2 linked regions of the Oryctolagus cuniculus genome follow. The main gene of each other region encodes a partner of the protein of the gene in region 2 in a complex. Links are inferred from orthologs where the notes say so. Each region holds a gene or a part of one and is shown on either strand. Other genes may lie near its edges. The genes, in order: POLR2B and GTF2E2.

Evidence for each region.
Region 1: GTF2E2 (region 2) and POLR2B share a complex: the UniProt entries of both Homo sapiens proteins name them as parts of the TBP-based Pol II pre-initiation complex. The link is inferred for Oryctolagus cuniculus from reciprocal best matches to the Homo sapiens genes GTF2E2 and POLR2B.

What each region holds. Positions count from the first base shown.
Region 1 is NC_091439.1:107,652,911-107,656,718, forward strand, and holds part of POLR2B (DNA-directed RNA polymerase II subunit RPB2), read right to left. Parts: coding exon 3,661-3,808; intron 3,352-3,660; coding exon 3,183-3,351; intron 2,154-3,182; coding exon 2,057-2,153; intron 1,487-2,056; coding exon 1,392-1,486; intron 337-1,391; coding exon 86-336; intron 2-85; coding exon 1-1. UniProt on the Homo sapiens protein: Catalytic core component of RNA polymerase II (Pol II), a DNA-dependent RNA polymerase which synthesizes mRNA precursors and many functional non-coding RNAs using the four ribonucleoside triphosphates as substrates.
Region 2 is NC_091433.1:80,687,302-80,691,728, forward strand, and holds the start of GTF2E2 (transcription initiation factor IIE subunit beta), read right to left. Parts: upstream 2,910-4,427; 5' UTR 2,687-2,909; intron 1-2,686. UniProt on the Homo sapiens protein: Recruits TFIIH to the initiation complex and stimulates the RNA polymerase II C-terminal domain kinase and DNA-dependent ATPase activities of TFIIH. Both TFIIH and TFIIE are required for promoter clearance by RNA polymerase.

The sequences.
Region 1 (3,808 bases), on a different chromosome or scaffold from region 2:
CCTGGAGTCATAGAAAAATAGGTTAGTTAATTAAGTGGAACTGCTGTACTTTCTAAAAGCACCTACATGTTAAACCTGTACTCACCCTTATTTTGCAAAATTTATATCCTTCCTGGTTGAGAGTGACCATGACCTGATCCACGATGCCCGTCTCGCTGGTTCTGAGGAAAGTACTACAGTCTCTCTTGGTATAGCGTCGATTTGTACTCTCCAGTTCATCTTCATTTTCAGGCAATGTGACTGTCTTGCCTATAATAACATCATCCCCAGACACACGCACGCCTGGAGCTATCAAACCATCATCATCCAGCTTGTCATAAATAGCATGCCTCATGCCTGTGGGGAGATGGACACAGGATTTCCTGAAATGTTGCTACCAGACAGAAAAGCACTAAAAAGGTCACATACTTGCCAACAAAGACTAAAAACCACACACCTGAATCAGCTGCAAGACAGAGAGTTCTCTAACACTATGAACCATGCTTAGTGATGACGTATTGCCCTTATTCCAAGTATTACATACTATTCTGAACCCTGTAATACCATAGCCTACGAAGAAAAAAGTTTACAAAGAAAAAGAACACCACACTGCACACTGGTAAATCAGACTCTCCCACGACAGACATCGCTGAGTGACTGGGTAAGTGAGCCACCATCATCTGATCCCCATGGGAGGTGTGAAACAGTATCTATGCCCTGGGCACACCTCTTCCACAGAAACTGTGCATCTCATCAAATGTGATCTGCACACCACTAAATACCAATTCACCAACACTGAGAACCACCCACAGAAATGGAGGACCCGGAAGATGCTACCGGGAACAAACACATTACACACCAGGCAACGCCATCAGGAGTCAAAATCACAGCAGAGCCCTGAGACGTCCATCCACCCCACTGCATAAGCAGCTCTTAAATGAACTACTTACTACGAAACAAGTAGCTGGGGAGTTTGAGTTTTTTAGAAGAAACAACAAGTGGTAAATGTCCTGTCATTTATTTTTACTGTTTACAAATACTGTGGTTGAAAAATCATTATGTTCTTACCACAGTGTAGAGGGTTGATATCAATGTGTCAACTGAAGGACAGACAGACACAGAACAAGCAGGACTGGCGTTGTGAGGTGTGCCCCAAAGTCACATGACGTCTCTGATTTCCTAAATTTCCCCCTCATTCCCAGCCTACCAGCAGGGAAGGTCTGAAGCAAGGCCCCTGCTACAAAAGGCCAAGGGCAAGGCCTTCTGGAAATTAACATTTTCTTAAATGTGAACACTAGCAATGACTACAAAAAATTAACAAGAGCACAGTGAGACACCCTCAGCAAAATTACTTAGGAAAACCACGGTAACTTAACTATGAATTCCAGAATTTAAATCTTGGTGTCACTTACCCTGGCATGTTTCACGGGTGGGTTTCTCAAAAACTTCTTCTTGATCAAATCCTTTTTTCGACTCCTGTTCTTTGTATGAGCGATAGAAAACAGACCTACAAATACATGGTTCCAGAGGTAACTTCTATTTTCTAACAGGGCTTAGAATACTCCAACCAACTTTTCACTGAATTAATATTTGGACCCAGTTTAAACCATGAATCTGACACAAAGTAGCTATCAAGGGATGAGGTTAAATCCTAAATGCTATCACAAGGGCTATGCATGTTACATCTGACACATAACCTCAACTAACTGAAATTATGGGTAGGAGGAAGAAGGACCCAAGGGCACAGAGCCTAACCTCCTACCTAACCCAAGAATCCCTTCCACAACAACCTGATCACCCTGGTCACCCAAGGTCTGCTCAAAGTTTCCAGGGAGTTCACTTTCATTCTTCTATATTATCTGAATGTAAATATATTTGCCTACCAAAAAAAGATTCAAACTATTCACATCCAAATAGCCCAAGACACAAGCAGTATCTTCAGTTGCTGGTGGCCATCAACCAGGCCTTTCACTTTCTAGAGTACGTACAACACATTCAAACCTATTTTAAATACTTTCAATTAAAAATTTATATTTCCACTGCCTCTGTGTTTTGACAGATTTTCTAAAAGGCTGACCTGAAAAAGCCTCGGTCTACAGCAGAACGATTCATAATCACGGAGTCTTCCTGGTTATACCCAGTGTATGAGGCGATGGCCACAATTGAGTTGATGCCTACAGGGAATTTAAAAATATGCATTAAAGAATCATCTGGGACTCAAGCAAAAACTTTCTTTTTTAAAAAAAGCTTTCATTCCATATACAAAGCTACTTGAAAAAGTTCATGGAAAATAGAATTAAAAGGTCATTATTTGGTGCAAAAAATTTGAAATAATACATTATTTCTGGTCAGCACCATGGCTCACTTGGCTAATCCTCCACCTGCAGCACCGGCACCCTGGGTTCTAGTCCCGGTTGAGACGCCGGAATTTGTCCCGGTTGCTCCTCTTCCAGTCCAGCTCTGCTGCGGCCCGGGAAGGCAGTGGAGGATGGCCCAAGTGCTTGGGCCTCTGCACCCGCATGGGAGACCAGGAAGAAGGACCTGGCTCCTGGCTTCGGATCGGCACAGCTCCAGCCATAGTGGCCACTGGGGGAATGAACCAACGGAAGACCTTTCTCTCTGAATGTCTCTCACTGTCTATCACTCTCTCTCTGTCTCTCCCTCACTGTCTAACTCTGCCTGTCCAAAACAAAAAAAAAAAAAAAAAAAATACATTATTTCTACGAACTTTTCAAAGACCCTGCATATGCAGGATTTCAAAATTTTTGCACCACAATAAACATCTTTTAGCTCCATTTTCCCAAATAGTCTTTGAACTATCATGGTGTTTACAAATCAGCCACATTAAACTTGAGTAACCACTGCTGTTCCTGGATCTCATACCTTCCCACATCTAGGGCCTTGCTCAAACCACCTCTCCATCCAAGTACCTGCTGACTAACTTTACTCCAGTCTAAAATCTAAGAGAAACTGCCTCTAGACTTCCAACAGGAATTAGTCACCTCATTAGTCTGTGCCTCCAGAGGACTTTGGACCTCAATCGTAACACTCTCCACATACCCTTCTGTTTTGTGGATCCCACCACATTAAATCCTTGGGAACAGGCACTCTGTCATATGTACTTTTTTTAATCCTCCCAAGCACCCAGAAGTGTCATAAGCATGATAGAGTCTCAAAACATTGTAAAACAATACCAAACATACCTGCTGGCAGCTCTCTGAAACGCAGATACTCCATGGACCGTGTAGTCACAAGCGGTTTTTGAGGATAATACAGAACGTGGGCCAAAGTGTCCATTCGAACGTGGAAGTTGGTGATGTAAACCCCCATAGCCTGCTTCCCCATAGCAGACTGGTATGTGTTTCTAGGGGACTACAGACAGAAATGAGAAGCACAACCAATGAAAATCTAGTATCTCTAAAGGAAAAGACTGACCGTAACTCAGAAACATGACCGGTAAAGTTCCGGATTTCTTCTGAAGGTAAGTGACAACCATTTGGAATAATCAATTATGGCTCTTATCAATGAAACACAAAAGCAAGCAAGTCAGACGCTCATTCTGTAGCAGTCCACAGTCTTCTGGTGAATAGCTTTTCTCTTTGGCAGAGACCGCAGATGAACCTCTAATTTTTATTACTTCCCCCAAATCACCACCAACCAGAAGACAGAAGTACCACCAACCTGGTTATGATCAGGAAAAGGAATAATAGATGCACAGACACCAAGGATCATTGACGGGTGAATCTCGCAGTGTGTGTATGTGGAGCAATACGCCACTTCTTTCTCCTGTAGATCGTCTGGCGTCATTGCAAGCATCACCGTTTCTTCT
Region 2 (4,427 bases):
GGGCACTAAGCCTTGAAAGATTCTGGAAGAGAAATCCTTGCCTTCCAGCAGCTCAGATTTAAGATGAAGTCTCGAGCACTTTGCTCTAAAAACAATGAACAGGGGCTGGTGGGTAAAGCCACCACCTGCAAGGCGGCATCCCAAATGGGTGCCAGCTCAAGTCCTGGCTTCTCCACTTGTGATCCAGCTCCCTGGTTAATGGCCTGGGAAAGCAGTGAAAGACGGCCCAAGTGTCTGGACCCCTGTCACCCACATGGGAGACCCAGAAGTTGTTCCTGGCTCTAGGCTGTCTCAGCCCTGGCCATTGCAGCCACTTGGGGAATGAACCAGCAGATGAAGATCTGTCTCTCCCTCTAAATCAGACTTTAAATAAATCTTTTAAAAATGAATGAAATGTGAACTGAAGTGCTAAGAATTAGAAATACACCGCACTGATAAGGACTAATCAGAGTGAACTTCAGTAAGAACAGTCACTGTACCACAACGCAAACATCTACCTTCTCTGAGTTTTGATTCCTAACAGTCACACAGCCAGGCAATCCATAAAACCTCTCTAGATCCAACTTCCTAAGTAAAATAAGGACACTACCAATGCTGTCTACATCTAGTCCAGCAGTAAGAAGAAAGTGACACTGGTTTTTTAAATATTTTAAAGACAAAGTGACAGAGAGGGACAGATCTTTCATCTGCTAGTTCACTCCCCAAATGCCAGGTATGGGGCAGGCCAAAGCCAAGAGCCAGGAACCTCATCCCGCTCTCCCACGAGGGTGGAAGGGCCCAAGCACTCAGGTCATCTTCCTCTGCTTTCCCAGACACATTAGCAGTGAGCTGGATTGGCACCCACATGGGATGTCGGCATCACAGGTGACAGCTTAATTTGTTATGCCACAATCCCAGTGCCAAAACTGATTTTTTAAAGCCATATAAATAAGTTATTTTGGTATCACTATTTAAAGATCTGAAGAGAAAAGAATGATTCTTGTGGTGTGAGGAAGGCAGTTTTGGGAGGTGGGATGGTATGAGGACAGCAACAAGAAAGTGAGATTCATAACTGAGAAGATGGGGACAACAAGCAGGTTGTGAACTTTTTTTTTTTTTAAGATTGATTTATTTAGGGGCTGGCGCCATGGCTCACTTGGTTAATCCTCCGCCTGCGGTGCCAGCATCCCATAAGGGCGCCGAGTCCTAGTCCCGGTAGCCCCTCTTCCAGTCCAGCTCTGTGCTGTGGCCCGGGAGTGCAGTGGAGGATGGCCCAAGTGCTTGGGCCCTGCACCCCATGGGAGACCAGGAAGGAGGCACCTGGTTCCTGCCTTTGGATCAGCACATCGCCGGCCGTAGCAGCCATTTGGGGGGTGAACCAACGGAAGAAAGACCTTTCTCTCTGCCTCTCTCTGTCAAATAAAAAAAATTTAAAAGGAGGTTTATTTATTTGAAAGTCAGAATTAGAGAGACAGAAGAGGAAACAGCAACAGCTGTGACTGGGCTCAGCCTAAGCCAGGAGCTTCTTCCAGGTCTCCCACATGGGTGCTGGGGCCCAGGCACTTGGGCCATCTCCCACTGCTTTTCCAGGCCATTAGCAAGGAGCTGAATCGGAAGTGGAGCGACTGGAAACCGAACTGGCACCCATATGGTATACCGGCACTGCAGGCAGCCCCAGCTGAGCCACAGCACAGGCCCCAGGTGGTGAATTTCTGAAACAGGAAACCTTTCTAACGGTTTATCTCACTTTGTAATGACAGGTAGATAATCTAGGCTTTTAAAGAGGACTTTAACATATTTTAAATAAAGCCCAACAGTCTAGCAAAGCCTAAATGGTTAACAGTTCCAGATCCTCATAACTCTGGGAGACAACAGATGACCCAGTTGTTACTAGTTTAATATGTGAAATCCAAAACTAAGGCGGTAGGGTGAGATTGACACACGCCAATAAACCAGGATCCGAATACCCTGACTCCTACAAGTTGAGCGCTGGAATGCCCGCAGATGAAGATCTTTCACCACCCGACGCTCCGCCTAGCTTTACCTGCCTGTACCGACTTCGACATTTCTGAACTGACCTCTGTAGCCAACAGGACGCGACACTATGCCCGATTTACATTTACAAACACAGCAGCACGACACAGACCGCTGAGTGTTTCCGCAGATGGAAACCGGGAGACAGACCCACACCCCACGACTCGCCCTCTTCCAGCCTTTCGCGGCTTTCCCGGCCTCAGCCCCAGGGGTGCCCGGCTGACCGACGGCGCAGAGGTGCGCCCAAGGGGGACCCCGGCGTCCTGCCGGGGCAGACGCCTGCAGAGTTCTCCGGAAACTCCTGTAATTACAGACCACGAGCGCGGGCTCCCCGAGGCAGCTGGAAAGCCGGTCCGGGTGTGAGCAACTCAATCACAGCCTCGGCGGGCAGGACGCCGTGGCGCCCCGAGCCGCACACGTGCGGTTCGCTCGGCCCACGAGGGGCTCAACCCGCGCGCGACCCCACTGCCGATTTCCCCCTCTTTTCAACCCAAAAGTTTGTCCCGTGAGCCCCAGGCCTCAAAGACAGAGCGCCCACGGAGCTGTTAGCGTGTCCGAAGGGTCCCGAGACCCAGCCCCACGAAAAGTGAGGACCTGCGAGGAGAGCCGCGTCGCGGGGCGAAGAACAACAGGCCAGGGCTCGCGCCCCTCACCTGGCGGTCGCAGCCCTTACCAGAGAGAAGAGGGCAGCCCCACGCGACCCGCCGCCGACTCCCTGCGCCTCCGCCTCGGCCAGCCGTCCCCGCCGGCGCTGCCGTGGCTTCCCGCTCCTCGTCAGCGCCCTCGCCAGCCTGCGCGCACGCCCAGCGCCGACCCGCCAGCTCAGGGGTCTCGCCACTGGCGGCGGCGGCGGCGGCGGCTCCGCCCCGCCCGCCACTTCCTGATAAGGCAGCTAGGATCAGTCCCGGCAGCCACCGCGGCGCCTTCGCTGCCGAGAACGCGCATGCGTCATCGCGTACCCCGCGAGAGTAACCGCGGGAGCTGAACAAGCCGGCTCGGGCGTCGGGATCTCCATGACAACGGGAAGGTGGCTGGGGCGGGGCGGAGGCCGGGACTCAGGTGGGAGGCGGTGCTAAAGAAGATGGACGCAGCCTGTCTGTGCCGAAATTCGAAGTTAGGAAGTCCTCTTTCGGCAGGCAGGCTCTGGAGTCTAACCCGAGGGCGACGCGTTCTGGCGGCGTTTATTGTGTGACTGTCGCTCAGATGCCGCTCACCGGCACCTGAACCTGAGAGAACGTTGTAGCTGTTTCAAAGTGGCGAAAAAGGCCCCGTGGAACTAAGTGACTCGTTCGCAGCAGAGAGAGCAAAGGCGAGCCCACACGGGCTCCTTCCCGCACACCTGTGAGCTGTCTGTCACAGCAAAGGATCTCGGACTGCGACAGGAGGTGCTGGAAGCGAAACAAGAATAAAACGAAAACCATCGCCTGGCTCGCGCTCTGCCGCTCTCCGTTCCTGTTCTGAGAACCTACAGCAGCAGCGTGGCCAGCGCTTACCTATTGTGAAGCTGCCCTTTAATTACTGCTGGTTACTCCTCAAGTTACTTAACCTGTATCTCCATCTCTTCTGGGAAATGGGGATAATAATGGTACTACCGTGATGGGCTACTTGGACTGTGGCGACAATGAAGTAACGCATAAGTCAAACCAGAGCCTTTGCCTTGAGCAATCCGCTCCGAATTATCAGGATTTGGGGCTGGTGTTGTGGCACAGCTGGTTAAGCTGCCACCTTTCACACCTGGATCCCATATCAAAGTGGTGGTTCACATCCCAACTACTCTGATCCAGCATCCTGCCAATATGCCTTGAAACGCGGAAGATGACCCAAATACGTAGACCCCTGCCACCCACATGGGAGCCCGGGAAGGACTTCCTGCCTCCTGGCCTCAGCCTGGTGCAGACCTCAGTGTCGCAGCTGTTTGGGGAGTTAATCAGTGTTGGAAGATCTGCCTGTCACTCTCTGTTGTTCTGCCTTTCAAATACATTAATCTTTAAAAAAAAAAAAATCAGTATTTACCCAAGGAATTCATGGAAAAGTGGCTTTGAAAATATGTTTATTTTGGTGCAAATTATAAATGATAGATGTTGTCAACAGTGGTTATCACTCTGGCTTCTACTGCAAGTTGCCTGTGATGAGGTCATAACACTGAAAGCAATGACTGCATTTATTCAAAACACTTTTAAGTGATATCCTGTACCCTGAATCATTTCCTCAAGAGAAGTCCATAAATAGATTCATATGATCTATAATCTGTAATTAGGCCCGTTCTTGTGTCAGAGGTGCTTAAAAATGGTCATCACCCTATAAATGAACTCAGAAAGGGGTCCTGTTTCTCTGCTGCCAAGGTTGACCACATGACCAATTTGTTTCCCAACAGCCACATTAACTTGATTTCAGAGAGTCCAATATTCGTAATT